Cricetulus griseus: one gene and its partner. The protein of the gene in region 1 purifies or fractionates together with the protein of each later gene. This does not show direct contact. Links are inferred from orthologs where the notes say so. Each region holds a gene or a part of one and is shown on either strand. Other genes may lie near its edges.

The links. Proteins that work in one complex are often made in the same cells at the same time.
Region 2: the proteins of Nphp1 (region 1) and nephrocystin-4 purify together in Homo sapiens (co-immunoprecipitation; 6 studies listed by BioGRID and IntAct, with this or other methods). This does not show direct contact. The link is inferred for Cricetulus griseus from reciprocal best matches to the Homo sapiens genes NPHP1 and NPHP4.

The regions. Positions count from the first base shown.
Region 1 is NC_048599.1:50,821,375-50,825,515, reverse strand, and holds part of Nphp1 (nephrocystin-1), read right to left. Parts: intron 3,588-4,141; coding exon 3,545-3,587; intron 2,872-3,544; coding exon 2,784-2,871; intron 1-2,783. UniProt on the Homo sapiens protein: Together with BCAR1 it may play a role in the control of epithelial cell polarity. Involved in the organization of apical junctions in kidney cells together with NPHP4 and RPGRIP1L/NPHP8. Does not seem to be strictly required for ciliogenesis.
Region 2 is NC_048595.1:3,880,315-3,885,207, forward strand, and holds the start of nephrocystin-4, read right to left. Parts: upstream 3,196-4,893; 5' UTR 2,984-3,195; intron 2,721-2,983; exon of another isoform or gene 2,596-2,720; intron 1-2,595. UniProt on the Homo sapiens protein: Involved in the organization of apical junctions; the function is proposed to implicate a NPHP1-4-8 module. Does not seem to be strictly required for ciliogenesis. Required for building functional cilia.

The DNA of each region.
Region 1 (4,141 bases):
ACCAGAATATGTTAGTATATTAAAATAAGGCACAAAACTTAAAAGATATAAATATATAAAGATCACCTCAAGGCAGCTCTAAGGGAATTCTAAAGATTTTTAGACAAAAAGCATGCCTGGTTATAATGACAATTCATTCAAATACTTGTGTAAAATGGAAGAAATCTGTAATCATGTTTAAGAGATTTGGGGAAAACATTACATAATTAGCTTTATTTTTAAGTTAATATTTGAGACAATGTCTTGTATAAATAGCAGGCTGGTCTCTAACTCTCTATGCCACCAACGATGACTTTGAACTTCTGGTTCTCTTACTTCTGCTTCCCACATGCTGGGATCATATGTCTACAACTGGACTGTTAATTATAGAAACCACTACTCACTCAAGAAATAGTTTTGGAGCCCCTGCTTTGTGCCAAGTGCTATGTTAAAAGCCAGAAACAGAATAGTGAACCTGAGAGATATGTCCTGCTCTCATTAGCTTACAGCTGAGTGAGGGACTGACAAACAAAGCCTATGCATGAGGTTTAAGGGTGCTCAAGTTGTTTCAAGGGTGCAGAGGAAACCAATACAACCATGGCAGGCATCCTGGGGAAGGATGGAAAGGACACAAGAAAGAGCCAGTCCATCAGAGGTGACCTCAAGAAGTCCTTCCAAGGATAACTAAACAGCTCAGGTACACATGAGACACCTATCACCATGGTTCTTCTTTACAAAAGCTCACAGACAGATGCCAAGCACTGGGAAAGCCCAAAGTAAACAAGGGAGCAGAAACACGAGGTGTAGAGAATGCTCCAGACAAGTCTTTCTACAAAGAAGGGCTTAATAGGATGGGGCTTGGGGGTTGGTCCTTAAAGGCTGCAGGACTAGGTGTCCTGTTAATATTGAATGGGCATGTACCAATAGGAGGAAGGCTAGGAAGGGTTGGTTAAAGATAAAGGAAAGGGCACCTGTCTTGGGGTTTCCTTATGAAGGAAAAACATTTGGCTTACATTTTCAGAGGTTTAGTCCATTATCATCATGGTGGGAAGCAAGGCAGCACACAGGAAGACACAGTGCTGAAGAGGGAGCTAAGCATCCTATATCTTGACCAGCAGGCAACAGGAAGTGGTCTGTTAATGGGGGAGGTCCTTCTGTATATATATGTTTGTCATATTGGTTGATAAATAAAGTACTGTTGGCCAATAGGAAAGCAAGATACGTGGGGCTAGGAGTCAAGGAGGATTCTGGGAAATGTAGTAACGAGATCCAGGCAGGAAGTGACATAGCAGGCAGACTCAGAATATAAGCAGGGACAAGAAGGAAATCGTCCTCTTTCTCTTCCTTTTCCTCTTGCTCTCTGCTCTGGAGCTACCATGTGAGCTTGGAAAGACAGGACGCATTCCGCCGGCATCCTTAATAAGATAAGCCTTATAAAATATATAGATTTATGATAATTAAGACTGAGCTACCATATAAGAAATCCTAGTCATTTGGCCAACAGCATTGTAATTAAAACGACTCTGTGTGTTATTTTGGGTGTCCACATGGCAGCGGGGCTTGGGCCACTGGCATAAAGATTTATCGTTACAAAATGGTGTTAGGAGTGGGATGATGGGGGAGGTTCTTCTGTGTATATGTTTGTCTTATTGGTTGATAAATAAAGTACTGTTGGCCAATGAGAAAGCAAGATAGGTGGGGCTAGGAGTCAAGGAGGATTCTGAGAAAAGTAGGAACAAGATCTAGGCAGGAAGTGACATAGCAGGCAGACTCAGAATACAAGCAGGAAATTGCTCTCTTGCTCTTGCTCTTCCTCCTGCTCTCTGCTCAGGAGCTGCTATGTGATCCCAGGAAGAAGATGCCAGCGGAAGGTGTCCTCGATAAGATAAGTCTTATAAAATATATAGATTTATGATAATTAAGACTGAGCTAGCAAATAAGAAATCCTAGTCAATTGGCCAGCAGCACTGTAAACTAATATAAGACTCTGTGTGTTATTCTGGGTGCCCATGTGGCGGTGGGGTTTGGGCGGATGGAGTAAAGACTTATCGTAACAGTCTGGCTCACTGGGCATAGCTTGAGCATATATGAAACCTCAAAGCCCAGCTCCACAGTGACATACTTTCTCCAACAAAGCCACACCTCCTGATAGCGTCATTCCCTTTGGGGGCCATTTTCTTTCAAACCACACAGCAGAAATTGTGTTTGTGAAACAAGGAAAGGGGCTGGAATCCAGAGCACCACACACAGCCTGGCATCCCTTAAAGCTACAGAGAGGACAAGGAAAAGGTGAATACTCAAGAAGGTGAGAATCAGGGCTGGGGAGACAGCTCAGTCAGTAAAGCACTTGCCACGTGAGCATAAGGACCTCAGTTCTATCTCTCAGAACCCAGGCAAGAGCCAGATGTAGTGCAGTGGTATACACCCGTGGTCCCTGTGCTGGAGGGCAAAAAGGGGGATCCCTGGGCTTGCTGGCTAGCAAGTCTAGGCACACTGAGTGAGCAGCCTTGCCTCAAAAAATACAGTAGGGAACAATTGAGGAGGGTACATGGTGTTCACCACTGGCCTCAGCATGTGTACACACAGGAACACACACAGGAACACACACATACACAGACACACACAGACACACACAGACACATACAGACACATACAGACACACACACACACACACACACACACACACACACACGGGGTGGGGGTAGATTCAGTATCTTCAACTTGTTTTGCCAATAACAGAAAAATTCAACTTCAGCATTGACTGCTTAACTACAAGAGTACAGAGGCTGAAAGTCCCATATTACCTTCATCTAGCAGCTGGGAGAGCGTGGAAGGCCGGAACCCTGCAGGAATAGCTCCCATTGTGGCTAGCACATCAATAGTGTTTATCTGCTGAAGAGAGGAAAATGAAATAGACTTGTTTCCATTCCTCTATTTGTCTCTGTAAGACTTCAACACCATTGCAACCATAACCCCAAAGAGGAAAACACAAAACACAGACAAAAGAAATATTGCAGTGTAACCCCCAATTGCTAGAAGGTGACACTCATCATGAACCCCGGTCTCTGTAATGACTTTGACCCTCGTGGAGACTAGTGTATAGAGCTCTGGGTTCTATGCCAGCTGCTTCAAGTGCATCCTGCACCAAAATGTCCCCACTCCTGTCCAGTTCCACAGCACATGCCACTGAACCAATGGCTATGCACTTTAGAGTCAGTGGATGTTCTGTGTATGTGGATATTTGCCCACCCACTCACACAAGCATGACCTTGTAACTGAGGAAGAGAGTAAAGAGTCAGGAAGATGACTCACTACACTGCTAATGGGGATGGTTTATGGGATTGACAGGAAGGATTTTCACTTAGTTGTATAATTTCTGGGTGATAGAATTATGGGTAATTTCTTACTCTGATGTCTTTCCAGCAGGAGATATGCCTTACACTCGGCACTTTGCACCTGCTGTGACCTCTGCTGACCTCCCGTCTCTATTCTGCTCTGAACCCAATGTATCTTGTCAATCACAACAATATTATTAGGCACAAAGCACTAGACAGGAGTCACCAACCTCTGAGATAGCTTTTCGGACAGCACTCCAGTGGGAATCGGTTCTAGGGAGACAAAGCAGTAAGGTCAGTGAGGAACCAGTTACACCTATTCTAACTGGGCAGTCACAGAGCAAAGTGTGTCATCATCAATTAGTTCTGAAAACTAAACAGTCATCTTCTCAGAGGAAGCCAAGCTAGGACTAGATGCCCTAAAAAATCATTACAAAATTAAAGTAGCAACACATGCCTCCATTTCAAGAAAGTGCTGAATTATTTGTGATAGTAAAAATAAAGTAAAAAAAAGAGTCAAAAGTTTTGAAGATGGTTTACTTGCTAAAATGCTTGCCATGCAAGTGTGAAGATCTGTGTTCAAGCCCCCAGAGCTGACAGAAAGCCAAGCTTATGCCTTATAATCTCAGAGTTGGGGAGGTGGAGACAAGAAGGTGTCTGGGGCTCACTGTTCACCCAGCCTAGCCTAATTAGCAAGCCCCAGGTCCCAGAGAGACCCAGTATCAAAAAGCATGGTTTCTGAGGAACAACATGCAAGGTTCCCCTCTGCCTACACACACACACACACAGACACACAAGACACACACACACACACAGAGACACACACA
Region 2 (4,893 bases), on another chromosome or scaffold:
ATTGAGAATCCTTATCTGACAGCATTAGTGGGGAGGAGGGTCCTCCTGACCCAAGTCCCTACACTGCCCCTGCCCCTGTGGCAGTGTGGGGGGCCAGTGTCCTCACCGCTCCCAGCCTTGAAAAGCACTCGAGCACCAGCCTAACCTTCCAGGGTCTGCCTGCCCCTCGCTCTCCCAACTGCCTGTCAGGTTGGCACTGGAGATCTGAAGGCCCGCCTCCCTGCAGCCCTCTCTAGAAACATTATCCAGGGCTGTGTGGTCAGTGCAGTCCTGGGAGACTGTGAGCTCCCTGAGTCAGCACCAGTCCTTGGAAAGACTCTGTCAGTACTGAAAGAAATATAACCTCTATGGCAGAGAAAGTGTTCTAAAGAGACACTTTATAACCCCAAAGAAGTAAAATCTCCCCGGGAATCCCCATGCTGGGAGGAAGGAAGGTCAAAGCCTTGTGCCAGAGAAAGGAGGAACTTGGGAAGGCTTCACTCAGTTCCGACCGGTCAGACCACCCAGCAGGAGACACTGGAGCAGACACAGGAATGGGTCAGTGACCACGCCCTGACCAGGACTACTTAGTTATGCATACCTCCCGCCTTGTTTGTGCCTAAACTTCATGCTAGTATTCCTAAGATGGACTTGGGGGTACTGGCCAGCCCCTGTTGTGGAATATTAACTAGGCAAAAAAGTGTTACATTTGTTTACACCCTGAGGGACTATTATTTTATGCTATTACTTTATGGAGATGTGTTACGTTTGTTCCTGCTGCCTTTGTTAATGATGGAAAGATGAGTCATATTTGTTGGTGCTGCATTTGTTTAATTATGTAAAATGTGTTGCATTTGTTACAGGTCCCCTGCCTATTTATTAGACCTGATTGGTCTAAAAGAGAAAAGAAAAAAGCTTAACGGCCAATAGCTAGGCAGGAGAGGGATAGGTGGGGCTGAAAGGCAGAGAGAATTAAGTAAAAGGAGAAATCTACACTCAAAAGAAGAGAAATAAGGGCAAGAGGGACAGGCCTGGGGCCAGAAGCCAGCCAGCCACCAGACAGACACAGAACAGAGCATACAGAAAGAAAGGTAAAAAACCCTGAGGCAAAATGTAGATGAAAAGAAACAGGGTAATTCAAGTTAAAAAAGAGGTAGCCAGAAACGAGTCTAAGCTAGGCCAAGCATTCATACTTAATAAGAAGTCTCCATGTCATAATTTGGGAGCTGGTTGGTGGGTCAAAATTAAAAAAAAAAAAAAATCCTGGTTCAGAACCATTTATGTGTTCCTCCTCCCAATGTGGCCAAACTGAATAAATCTCCTTTCTCCTCTTTTCACGGTTATTTGTCTCTTTAACCAGTGTACTGGGGACAGGTGGCAAAGATCACACCCTGGGGTTGCCAGAGCCAGGCTCATACCCTACAAACTCCAGTAACAGAAAGGTTTGGAGGAAGGATCACAAGGGCCACCAAGAAGAATAAACATTAGAAAGAAAACTGGGCCGCTCCATGCTTTCAACCCAAGGAAAGGGACCCTGGGCTCTCTACGAAGGACATGAAGGAGAAGACAGGACAGCTCCTACTGAAGCCCGAGCTCAGTCAGGCACAACACTCCCGATGTACTGCTCCAACAACTGGAAGGCAGTGTCATCACAGCCCACCCTATACAGGAGGAGACGGGCTCAGACAGCTGAGTTCACAGCTAATAGGGACTAACTCACACCCATACCACTCTCCTCCTCCCGCTCAGGAAGCCAAGGGGGACAAGATGTCCAGAAGGTGGTAGTTGAGAGCCCTCCGGGCGGAGATGTCCAAAGATGAGGGCCAGTTTTTTTCTCCTTAACTTCAGCCAAGGTCTTCACCCTCTCTTCCTGCTTCCAATCTACAAGATGACAGCTTGGGGGGGGGGGGGTCTTAGGGTCTTCCAGTCAATAAATGTTTGACAGACACCTGGTGTATTCCAGAGGCAAAGAGACAAATCGTCTCCAACAATATTTAACTGTAGTGAGGGAGAAACACGGGACAAGTGGGTGCACCCCACAGCATAGATCACGACCAAGACTCATATATAGGTGGTGACAAGGGAGGAAACCAGAGGCTGAAATTCTGAAATTCCACAAATAGTGGTGCCAGACTGGGGGAAGTCTGCTCCTCAGAAATGAAGACCTGAGAGTTACCCCCATGGGGGCGGGGGGTTACCTGTAAGTTTGATTAAGGCATGCATGCCCTCATTCACCCTCTGCTACGGGACTAAAGTAAACAGTCTCGAAGATCCCTGAGTACAAACTCAAGAACCAGACAGCGCTAGGGCAGTTGTGGGGCGGGGAGCGGGGGACACAAGGCAGAATTATGGCCCGTGGAAGCTGCATGGCTGAGCCACAAAAAGGAAACCAGGGTTGGGACAGGGAGAGTTTGCCCATTCCGTAAACCCGCAAAGCTGGCTTCAGTGCAAATTTCCAATCGCTAGTACGTCTCCCCGCACCAAGGCAAGTCTGGGCACACCAGGAACTAGGACATCAGTGTAGGTTGCAATTCCAAGCAATGAAGAAAGGGAGAAGACCCTGCGCCCCAGGGGCCTCCCAGTGCATAGAGGGCCGCATGAACCTGGCCGAGCTACCCGTATTAGGGCTGGGAAAGAAGCGCGCACACCAGCCCGTGGGCATCTTCGAGGCTCTGGCGAGCACGCCGCATCCGTTTCGGCACCGAGACTGCGGCGGGAACCCGGTCAGAAAGCGGAGGACAAACCGAAGGAGACCCCCGACGCCCAACTTCGGAAGGCAACCGGGATGCACCAATGGCGACGCAGGGGGGGAGGGTGACACCGCGCGACCTGGGCCCGGCCCCGTGCTCCGTGCCGTGCCTTGCAAACACCGGGTCGTCAGCGAGACGCAATATGCACATTCCCACCCGGGACCCTGAGGTCTCTCCAGGCTCTGCTGCCACCCGCGCTTCCAAAACACGCACACCTCCCCCGCACTTGGTGCGGTCCACCGCTGGCGTGTTACCTAGGAGACGGGCACCGGATCCACGCGCCCAAGACGTCCCGCACCGCGGATCCCGCGATCCGGCGGCCGGTGCGCAGCGGAACCCGAGGTCTGGTGGGTTCGGCGCCGGCCAAGGGGGTCGCCCTGTCCGCAGCCACCCACGCGAGGAGCCTGACCCGCGGGACTCCGCGCACTCGGCACCGGCCCCGCCTCGGGTCACTCTCTCCGTCAAGGCCGCGCGGGCCAATGAGAACCCGAGTCCGAGGACCCGGACTCCGCACGCGCCAGCCAATCGGCGCGTCGGCGGGAGCGGCATGATTTGCATGGGCTTCGAGGGCCTCCGCCAATGAGACGGTGACTGGCGTGGGTCACAGCCAATGATTGGCTGCTAGGGGCGTGGCCGCGGGCGTCCCACGAGGTAAAGATGCTGCGGGCGGAACCTGCGGGAGCGAGCGGGATTCGGGGCCGCTGAAGTCGCAAGGGCAGGGCGGGAAGGAAGATCCGGAGCGGGGCGCGGGATCCGGAGCTGGAGGCCCCCAGGTGAGTGCAGCCGGGAGACCCCGGCGGGCACCTGCGAGGCCGCGCTGTCGCGGGTACCGCGGTCCCTCTCCATGTCCTCTTCCCCAGCCCTGCATCCCTGCCCCCGCCGCGGTTCTCACCTCCTCTCCAGCCTCCCCATCTCCTTCTCCACAGTCTCCCTGCCCCCACCCCACCCTCTCTGCTTCCCTGTCATCCTGCCCCACCTTTCAGCCGACATCCCGGACCCCAACCACAAACTTCACCCCCGGCTCTGCCCCCTCCCGCCCCGCATCCCCACACCTCGCCCTTGCCTCCCTGCTTCTCCTCCTCTCCCTCCCGGCCTCTGCGCACTCCTAGTAGCTGCCTTCTCCATCCCTCTCCTTGTTGCTCCTCTGGACTCATTCTTCGTCCTTGCAGCCTGCCGGGTGTCCCTTTCGTCGTGACCCCAACTTCCCACCCATTCTGCTCCCAGCCCCTTCGATCCCCGCCGGCGCCGCCGCCACCACCGCCACCACCACGACCGCTACTGTGCCACCGCAGTGCTCTCTCTATTTTGCGTTGCACCTCGTCCCCTCTGTTTCTAGACTTCTACCCCTACCCTCAGTTTCTCCCGCATGCCCGGGCCCTGGCACTTGCGCATCCCCACCTCCCTACCTGCTGCTATTGCTGCTGCTTCTGCTGCTGCTGCAGGATGCGGAGCCCAAATGCTGCACTGCTTGCCTGCTGCAGTATCTGCAGCAAGGTGTACCTGCCCACCTGCCCTCCCTCCCTCCCGTCTGGCACACCCTGCTTGCTTCTCCTGGCACTCGTCCTGGGGTCTCCTTCAGGATGCCTTCTGGCACCCTTTGCTGCCTGCCCACGGGCTGCCATCCCCCTCTGACCCACCCTCGCTTACTGTTCAGTCACACTTTGTGAGTCAGCGTTTTTTGGGGTTGGTAACTTTCTTGGCTTACTGGTATGAAAGGGACCGGTCTTAAATGCAGGTGGTCTGGACTCGGAAGGTATGAGGGCCACCACATCAGACACCAGACTTGAGCTGCCCGTTTGGAAGAGGGCCCCACCAGTGGGGGTTGCCTCTTGCTCCATTCCATTCGTCCGCCCTGTGTTGAACCACATCCAAGGGGAGATGACATAAGTAATAGCTGTTGGAGAGATGGGCCATTAGCATTTATGGAAATTAATACATCCACATGAGCAGGAACACCAAGTTCAGTCCACAGCTGTCCCACTATCTGTCGCTTCTGGGTTTCTTCTTTCTTTGCAATTTCTCCTCCCCCTCAAAAACTCCAACCCCCAACTCTCTTCAGTGCCAAGAATAAGCTTCTACTCTGCGCTTGAAGCGACACCCCGGCCCAGGATTGCAGGGTTTGGGGACCTGTGTGTGTGAAAGGTCCCATCCACCCAACTGCTTC